Linked DNA regions of Arabidopsis thaliana. The protein of the gene in region 1 interacts with the protein of each later gene in a pairwise test. Each region holds a gene or a part of one and is shown in the gene's direction. Other genes may lie near its edges.

Region 1 (3,996 bases):
TATGCTTTTGTTAAATTCTTTTCGTAAACAAAGACAAAATGTCGTAGAAATCTTCTGACGGTTGGTTTTACAAACTTTGCTTCGTAGAGTTTTTTTAATAACATTTTTAAAGAAATCACACAATATATGACGATGCGTGAGAAAGAAGAAACGTCTTAAATTAAGAGTGAGGGTGGGTGTACGGACGATGTCGATGGCTGACGTACACCATCACGGTGGTAAAGACGGTGTCTCTTTGAAGTAGATGTCTTTATTCTTGATGACGATAACAATGAGAAGATCAATATTCAATAATAAAGCAATGGTGATGTATTTGTTTTTCAAAAGAATTGATGTTTTTAAATGGATCGATATAGCACATAAATAAGTTGACTTGGCGGTTGGGCATTATATTCGATGTGATGATTCGATGGTTGGTTTTTCCGGTTGGGTATGACTCCACAATGACGCCCGGATGTCATAGTCTAAATGACTGTGTGACCGTACGATAAAATCGAGATAACTTTTGAAGTTTGGTTGGGTATTACTGCCGACTGTTAGGTGTTAATTTTCATTCAGATAAAGTCAATAAACTAAAAGGCAAATAGATAGTAAATACCGTTACGAAAGCTAACACCTACATATTGGAACACATGAATGAATGAGCAAGAGTTGTTTTCTTTATTCGTTTTACTTTGTCGAGTTTTTGCTTTTGCATATTTCCTAATTCTTTTTTTAGAGGTTTCTTGTTTTTGGTCAAAAATTTACAGGTTTATGATAATGTTTTGAACAAGTTCACGTGTAAGGATTAATTTTTTGGCTTTTTCAACAACAAAAGGGGTACTAGTATGATTTTAATCCACACACGAATGACTTGGATCCACGAATCCAACTTCAAATTAATTATAAGAAAAACTTAATTTGCCCATCATTAATCCTTAGATAACAAAATTTCCAGCTATTAAAAAGTAATTATTATATGTGGCATTGAATTTCAAACAACATTCAAATTTAAATGTTATTATTTTGTCACTCAAATTTAAAGGTTATTTATTGACTGGATAATGTTCTTGGTTTGATTGGGTTGCTACGGTTGGATGCGGTTAAAGACCAACAATTTCATCAGAATTAAGGATGGTTGATTTGTACCCACGATATAACATTCGTGTCTAAACATCTTTACATGCACATGCAATGTTGCGAGATATAGTTCACATAAAATTTGGTCCGGTTCACTTGTCTTGATTTGGTTGTACACTTCTACCTGATGAATATATATTCTTATGTTTTAAGAACCAAATCATATCCTCAGAACTAAAGTACCATCTTAACCGGTAAAGAAGCTTAAAACATCGTCATGTATACTGCTTAGCATTCTATACAAAGTAACGTCAATCCACGTTGTTTTTTTCTTTCACATTATTCAAATATTTTTATATAGACGTTCTTTTTATTTTTGATAAAGTTTTTATTTTTGTCAACGATGAACGTTTAAAAAAAAAAAATATGTCGAGTTTTCCCAGCTCCTACAAAAACAAATAAATTAAGACTTTAAATCCCACCTGGAATTAGAAGGTTTTGGTTGACCTGACAAGGCAGATGTTTGGTAACAACAACATGAACCACACATTGGGGAAAGAATCATGAAAATTCCTTGAATCGTAAATTATTTCAGGAGAAAATGACTCTATCTCTAACCTGGTTGATATATCGCAACTAATTCAAATTAGTAAAAATCGAAAATGTTATCGCATTTTGAAATTGTCTTTTGTGAAGATTGTTTCTTTCATTTATTTGTTTAATGCATTTTATAATAAAGTCAAACTATTTTAAAATCTTTGTTTAAAATAATAGCTTACTTACGTGGCAAGTTGAGGAATTTCAATAAGAAGAGGCACCGCGCGCATGTCTTTTACAATTCCTAGACTGTTTCTCTTTACTCTGTTTTTTTGCTCTGTTTTTTTTGTTTGTTTGTTAATGGCCGAAGACTCTAATTCTTCCGAATCAATCATTGTTAACGTCACCGGAGATGATAATAAGTCGGCTTTGTTCGGTAAGTACGATCTCGGTAAGCTCCTCGGTAGCGGCGCGTTTGCCAAAGTCTACCAAGCGGAGGATCTTCAAAACGGCGGCGAAAGCGTTGCGATCAAAGTCGTACAAAAAAAACGTTTGAAAGACGGTTTAACGGCGCACGTTAAGAGAGAAATATCTGTCATGCGCCGCCTCCGTCATCCTCATATCGTGCTCCTCTCCGAAGTCCTCGCCACAAAGACGAAGATCTACTTCGTCATGGAGCTAGCCAAAGGTGGTGAGCTCTTCTCAAGAGTCACCAGCAACCGTTTCACAGAGAGTCTTAGCCGGAAATATTTCCGGCAATTGATCTCCGCCGTGAGATACTGCCACGCAAGAGGAGTTTTCCACCGTGATTTGAAGCCGGAGAATCTCCTCCTCGACGAGAATCGAGATCTGAAGGTTTCAGACTTCGGTCTCAGTGCGATGAAGGAGCAGATCCACCCCGACGGAATGCTACATACGCTCTGTGGAACTCCGGCTTACGTAGCACCGGAGCTTCTTTTGAAGAAAGGCTACGACGGTTCTAAAGCTGATATTTGGTCATGCGGCGTCGTTTTGTTTCTTCTCAACGCAGGCTACTTGCCGTTTCGTGATCCAAACATCATGGGACTCTACCGGAAAATCCACAAGGCTCAATACAAGTTACCGGATTGGACATCTTCAGATCTGCGGAAACTCCTCCGCCGTCTCTTGGAGCCAAATCCGGAACTGCGAATCACCGTGGAGGAGATTCTAAAGGATCCGTGGTTCAATCATGGAGTAGATCCAAGCGAAATCATCGGAATCCAAGCCGATGATTACGATCTGGAAGAAAACGGTAAAATTCTAAACGCGTTCGATTTGATTTCTTCGGCGTCGAGCTCGAATCTCTCCGGTTTGTTTGGAAATTTCGTGACGCCGGATCATTGCGACCAGTTTGTATCCGATGAGAGTACGGCCGTTATTATGAGGAAGGTCGAGGAAGTTGCGAAGCAGTTAAATTTGAGAATCGCGAAGAAGAAGGAGAGAGCGATAAAGCTTGAAGGTCCACATGGAGTAGCTAATGTCGTCGTTAAAGTTCGCCGGCTAACAAATGAACTAGTGATGGTGGAGATGAAGAACAAGCAAAGAGACGTGGGCTTGGTTTGGGCCGATGCTCTTAGACAAAAGTTACGTCGTTTGATTAACCAACCGGTTTATAAAGTTCCTGACAAACCGTAAAACGGTTTCAACACTAAACCAACAATCCGTGCGTTTTACTTTTAGAATTTTCAACGTACTACACTCGGGATCGAGACGCATTGTGGTTAACCGGTTCGGTTTACATTGGAGCAGGGAGAGTAATGGGACGATCCGCCTCTTTGTATATAAAAATGACAAGAAGAAAGAAAAAAACAAACCGGGATTCAATTATTTTTGTTTATTTATTTTCGGAGTATAATTTAAACACAAAAATTATTTGCTTTATTCATCGGAGAGAATTTGAATAAAACTCTGATTTGAACTTTGTAGCCTTTTATGTGTGACCGTGTGTGTTTGCAAACTTGGGCCTTATTTTGCGCTAAGGGACATGCTACACCGTTTGTAATATTTATCGTTGTTGATTTTGTTTGGCAATCGTACGAAGTATTTCAGGATCTTTTATGTATGAATGTTTATTTGAGTTTGTATTAAAAACATATATATGAATGTTACAGATTAACGAATAGTTGTCACTGCTGATTACCACTTGGCAATTCCGTTAAAACATGATTGGTATATATAACCGTACAAGTCTATAAGATAGATCACAAAATTCTAGCCAAAGCATCAATGTTTTATTTGTTTTGGGGAGTTTGTGGTCCAATGCTAATTTTAGAAATACAAAAACTATAGCTTCCAACGCATACATTTGATTTGACATAGATATATTCAGTAACTTTCTATAACAGAACTAGATAACCTATGTTATTTGGATAGTGGTGT
Region 2 (4,822 bases), on another chromosome or scaffold:
CATTCTTTGCTAAATCTCAGCAGAAATTCTATATAAAAAATAGCACTCTCGTTCCACCTCCAATTGATATGTATAATGTTGTTCCTTAAATTGACACCTTGTTGATTAATCATTTTTGACTTTGATAAATTTATTCCACGACCACTTCACTACTTTGTTTAAAGATTAATAAGTCTCAACATTTGAAAATAGAGTGAGTGAAGGTCAAGATGCACATCATGCGTTATTTTTGATAACACTAAATTTGATTTGAAACACAAATTAAATTTTGTTTGGAAACAAAATGGACAAATTATCTCTAATTAGTCAAAATTATCAGTTTATCACTAAAAAATTTCTAATTTAAACAAGCATAAAAAACGAGAATCTAAATTTGAGTTGTCTTGTCCGTTTTCGGTACAATAAAACTATTCAAAGTCAGTAATTAAATCTACCAAGATTACAATTTTTAAAATTATAATAAAATTTAAACCATTTTTTTGAACAAAGATAACATATCATTACTAAACTAGGGTTCAATAGATGATAACAAGAGGGTATACTTTGACAAAGAGTCTGCTTCATGATTAAGAGATCTAGAGTTGAAAATAAAAGAACAAGAAATGAACTTAAAAAAAAAAGATAATTCTTTTGAGAAAATCTTCCAGTTGATAGTTTTAACAACCATTTGCGAATTCCAATTCTATTGCAATTTCTATAGCATTGAGAGTTGTTAACGCTTCGGCCACTAAAGGGGAACATACTAACAGTTGTACATCCTTGTTGAAGAGTACTCTTGTTTAGATTTTTTTTTTGTTTAGCGAGAACTCTTGCAATTTCAGCAGTAAACATCTAAAGATGTGAGATTTATGCTTAGATTACAACAACTTTTAGTTAGCTCAATTTTATTTAAAACTCTAAAACTAAATATGGTATTCTTTCTAATTTTTTATTTTTTTAATATTAAAATCTAAGAAAAACTAGAATTTTTTTTCTACCTAGATTTTAAAAGATTTTCTTATGAATTTTGCTGAGATATTATTTACAAATATAGTTAAGATTCTTTACCAAAATTGAAAGATTTCTAGATATCTATCCAAATAAGGTTATATGTAAAAGATATTTACCCAATTAAGATCACACATATTAAAAAATAATTCTCCAATTAAAGTTTTTTAAATAAATATAGAAATTTTATAAAATTAAAATTCGTACTAAAAAAAAAAACAGAGATTAATACTCATGTAAAATTTGTTTATAAATAATTGTGAAGGCAAAGAAGAGAGTAAGGTACACGCGTTAGGATTCTTAGGCGGGCCATGATAGATGCATGAGTAAGAGAGAGTCATGCGCCATTAATGTATATTTTGTCCCTACTTCTTTCTTTATTGCCAGCTAATATTTATTATATGTCTCCTCAAATGGAAATGTTTTTATACTAAATCTTCCTCTTTTTTTTTTTTTTTTAATTTTCTAATACTACCAAATTAAAAATGTAACGCAAAAAAAAATTCAAGTCAAAAGAGCCACACTACAGTCAAATACTGTTATTTTTGTTAACTCTATAAAAAACGGAAGATTTATTTAATTCAATACATTTAATAGGCAATTAAATATATTTTTTCTTGGGTCAGTAAATGTGATTTTTGCTATAAATTAGGAATGACTTCCTAAATTGGTTATATTTTATTCCTAATTTTCACCATTTACAGTTTCTAATTGGCTGTTACAAAGTTCATGATTATATTCTGTATATTTTATTTCCCTTCTTAGTCGGTCTTTTTTTTCTTTGAATGGTTACTTTTGACCGTCATTGAACAAAGGGAAATAAATCAGTACTTGTTAAAATCAGAATATAAAGAGCGTGAAAGCTTTATTATTTCATTCACAAGAAGAAAAAAAAAAGTGTGAAAGGAAAAGAGAGAGAGAAAAAAATCAGAAGAAACAACAGCAACAAGGTCATTTTCTTCTTCTTCTTCATCTTGTGATTTGTTTATTGTTTATGTTCTCTTCTAGAGATTTGCGTCTTATTTTGTAAAAACCAAAGCTTTTCTTTTTCATAAATATAATTTATTTCAACACTTGTTTACTGTTTTTTCTCTGTGAAAATTGTCACGGATCCTTCGTTTTTTTTTATATACTCATAGCAAAAATAATCTCATCCCCAGATTTCTTACCCATCTATCTATCTTCTTCTCTGTCTCTTAAGGGTTCTGGGTTTTAGCTGTTTGGGTTTTATTTGGTTTCGTTTCTCACTTATTGTTTTGTCTTTTCCAAGAACAGGAACAGTGAAAGGTTCGGTTTTTTGGGTTTCGATCTGATAATCAACAAGAAAAAAGGGTTTGATTTATGTCGGCTGGGTTTGAATCGACTGTGATTTTGTCTTTGATTCATATCTCTTCTCCGATTTCATCATCATCTTCCCCATCATCGTCGTCTTTGAAATCTTGTCTTCTCAACGCTCTTCACTTCTGCTGTAATAAGCAGAGGCTTGTTCTGGAGACTCCTTCTCTTTCCATGCGCTTAAGACCCAAAAGGTATTATCTTTATCCTTCATCTTTCTCTCTTCTCTCTTTACATTTATGTACCTTCTCCGATCTGAGAGTTTGTTGTTTGATTTTTGTCACAGGACTTGTTCTAGTGTTGAAGTCTTTGGGGGTTTTCACATAAAGCAGCAAAAGTTTTCTTTTTTCATAGTTCGCTGAGAGTTTTGAGTTTTGATACCAAAAAAGTTTTGACCTTTTAGAGTGATTTTTTGTTCTTTCTGTTTTCTGGGTATTTTTGAGGAGTGGGTTTAACAATGGTTGCGATTAGAAAGGAACAGTCTTTGAGTGGTGTTAGTAGCGAGATTAAGAAGAGAGCTAAGAGAAACACTCTATCGTCCCTTCCTCAAGAAACCCAACCTTTGAGGAAAGTCCGTATTATTGTGAATGATCCTTATGCTACTGATGATTCCTCTAGTGATGAGGAAGAGCTTAAGGTTCCTAAGCCAAGGAAAATGAAACGTATCGTTCGTGAGATTAACTTTCCTTCTATGGAAGTTTCTGAACAGCCTTCTGAGAGTTCTTCTCAGGACAGTACTAAAACTGATGGCAAGATAGCTGTGTCAGCTTCTCCTGCTGTTCCTAGGAAGAAGCCTGTTGGTGTTAGGCAAAGGAAATGGGGGAAATGGGCTGCTGAGATTAGAGATCCTATTAAGAAAACTAGGACTTGGTTGGGTACTTTTGATACTCTTGAAGAAGCTGCTAAAGCTTATGATGCTAAGAAGCTTGAGTTTGATGCTATTGTTGCTGGAAATGTGTCCACTACTAAACGTGATGTTTCTTCATCTGAGACTAGCCAATGCTCTCGTTCTTCACCTGTTGTTCCTGTTGAGCAAGATGACACTTCTGCATCAGCTCTCACTTGTGTCAACAACCCTGATGACGTCTCGACCGTTGCTCCAACTGCTCCAACTCCAAATGTTCCTGCTGGTGGAAACAAGGAAACGTTGTTCGATTTCGACTTTACTAATCTACAGATCCCTGATTTTGGTTTCTTGGCAGAGGAGCAACAAGACCTAGACTTCGATTGTTTCCTCGCGGATGATCAGTTTGATGATTTCGGCTTGCTTGATGACATTCAAGGATTCGAAGATAACGGTCCAAGTGCGTTACCAGATTTCGACTTTGCGGATGTTGAAGATCTTCAGCTAGCTGACTCTAGTTTCGGTTTCCTTGATCAACTTGCTCCTATCAACATCTCTTGCCCATTAAAAAGTTTTGCAGCTTCATAGGATCTTGCTTAGTAATGTTAAGTGAGAAGAGTGTTTTGTTTTTTCGTTTATGCTTTAGTAATTTAAGACATACAAAAGTGTGTGTTCCGGATTGTAGTAAGATCTTAAGACATAAAGCCGGGTTTTGCAATTAGGAATCGAGTTTTAATGAAGTTTTAGTTTATGTTTGATTGATGTTTTGCTGATTCTGGTTTCTCTTCTCTTTTACTTTGGGTTTTTCATTGTGCTTTTAAGAGCCGTCCAAAGTGAAAGAGTTTTGATGAGAATTCCACTGTCAGTTTTATTACATCATTCTCCACTTTCATCTTTCGTTAATGTGAAAAACAAAATATTAATGGAAGAAGCTTTTTAGTTTATATAATTTTGATGTGAATTCCTTTTCATTGTTCTTATCGACTTAATTTGTTGTCTGCTTCAAAATTATTAAGCCCTACCAGTTGGGCGTTAGATTCTGACGTGTTGCGATTCTAAGAATCTAATGGAAAATGACAAATGCATGAATTTAGTATGGGTCACTGTTTCTCTGCTGATTCGCCGCGCCATCACAAAACACCATTATAGTTGTATTTATGGTTATACGTTTTTAATGGTTTTCATTAAGCGTTTTTTAATTACGTTATTGTGTGTTTTGAGAAAGGTTGAATAGTAGTGAAAGAGAGTGGGAATTAAAGAAGAGATTGCACGGAAGTGGCAACAAGTCAGGGGTTTGGTTTTGTCAGGTTTACACTTATTGTTAAGTCCAAATATATGTAACAGCTGTATCGCATTTTGGTATTTAATTGAATGTTATATAATAAAGAAAGGTTGGTGTCTTGGTGATTGAGAATTGAGGAAAAGTCAAAGGAGTGTATTAGTGTATAGTACTATATAGTAACACTCTCCCACTACTTTGTGGTTGCACATGTTTTTGTAGCATCTTTTTTTTTCAGTACGTACGGGTAAGCATGTCTCAAGCACGTGATACTTTACTATTAAGAACGAGAGGTGGACATGCACATGAAAGTTAGAGGATCTTGTGATAAGCTCTAAAAAGACTATATTATAAGAATGTTCATATTCACACCATAA

What was found.
Region 2: the proteins of CIPK22 (region 1) and CRF10 interact in a two-hybrid assay, tested with the Arabidopsis thaliana proteins (one large-scale study listed by BioGRID).

The regions. Positions count from the first base shown.
Region 1 is NC_003071.7:16,113,165-16,117,160, reverse strand, and holds CIPK22 (CBL-interacting Serine/Threonine-kinase), read left to right. Parts: upstream 1-1,956; coding exon 1,957-3,252; downstream 3,253-3,996.
Region 2 is NC_003070.9:25,724,742-25,729,563, reverse strand, and holds CRF10 (Integrase-type DNA-binding superfamily protein), read left to right. Parts: upstream 1-1,862; 5' UTR 1,863-1,937; intron 1,938-2,177; exon of another isoform or gene 2,178-2,262; 5' UTR 2,263-2,516; intron 2,517-2,608; 5' UTR 2,609-2,779; coding exon 2,780-3,754; 3' UTR 3,755-4,109; downstream 4,110-4,822.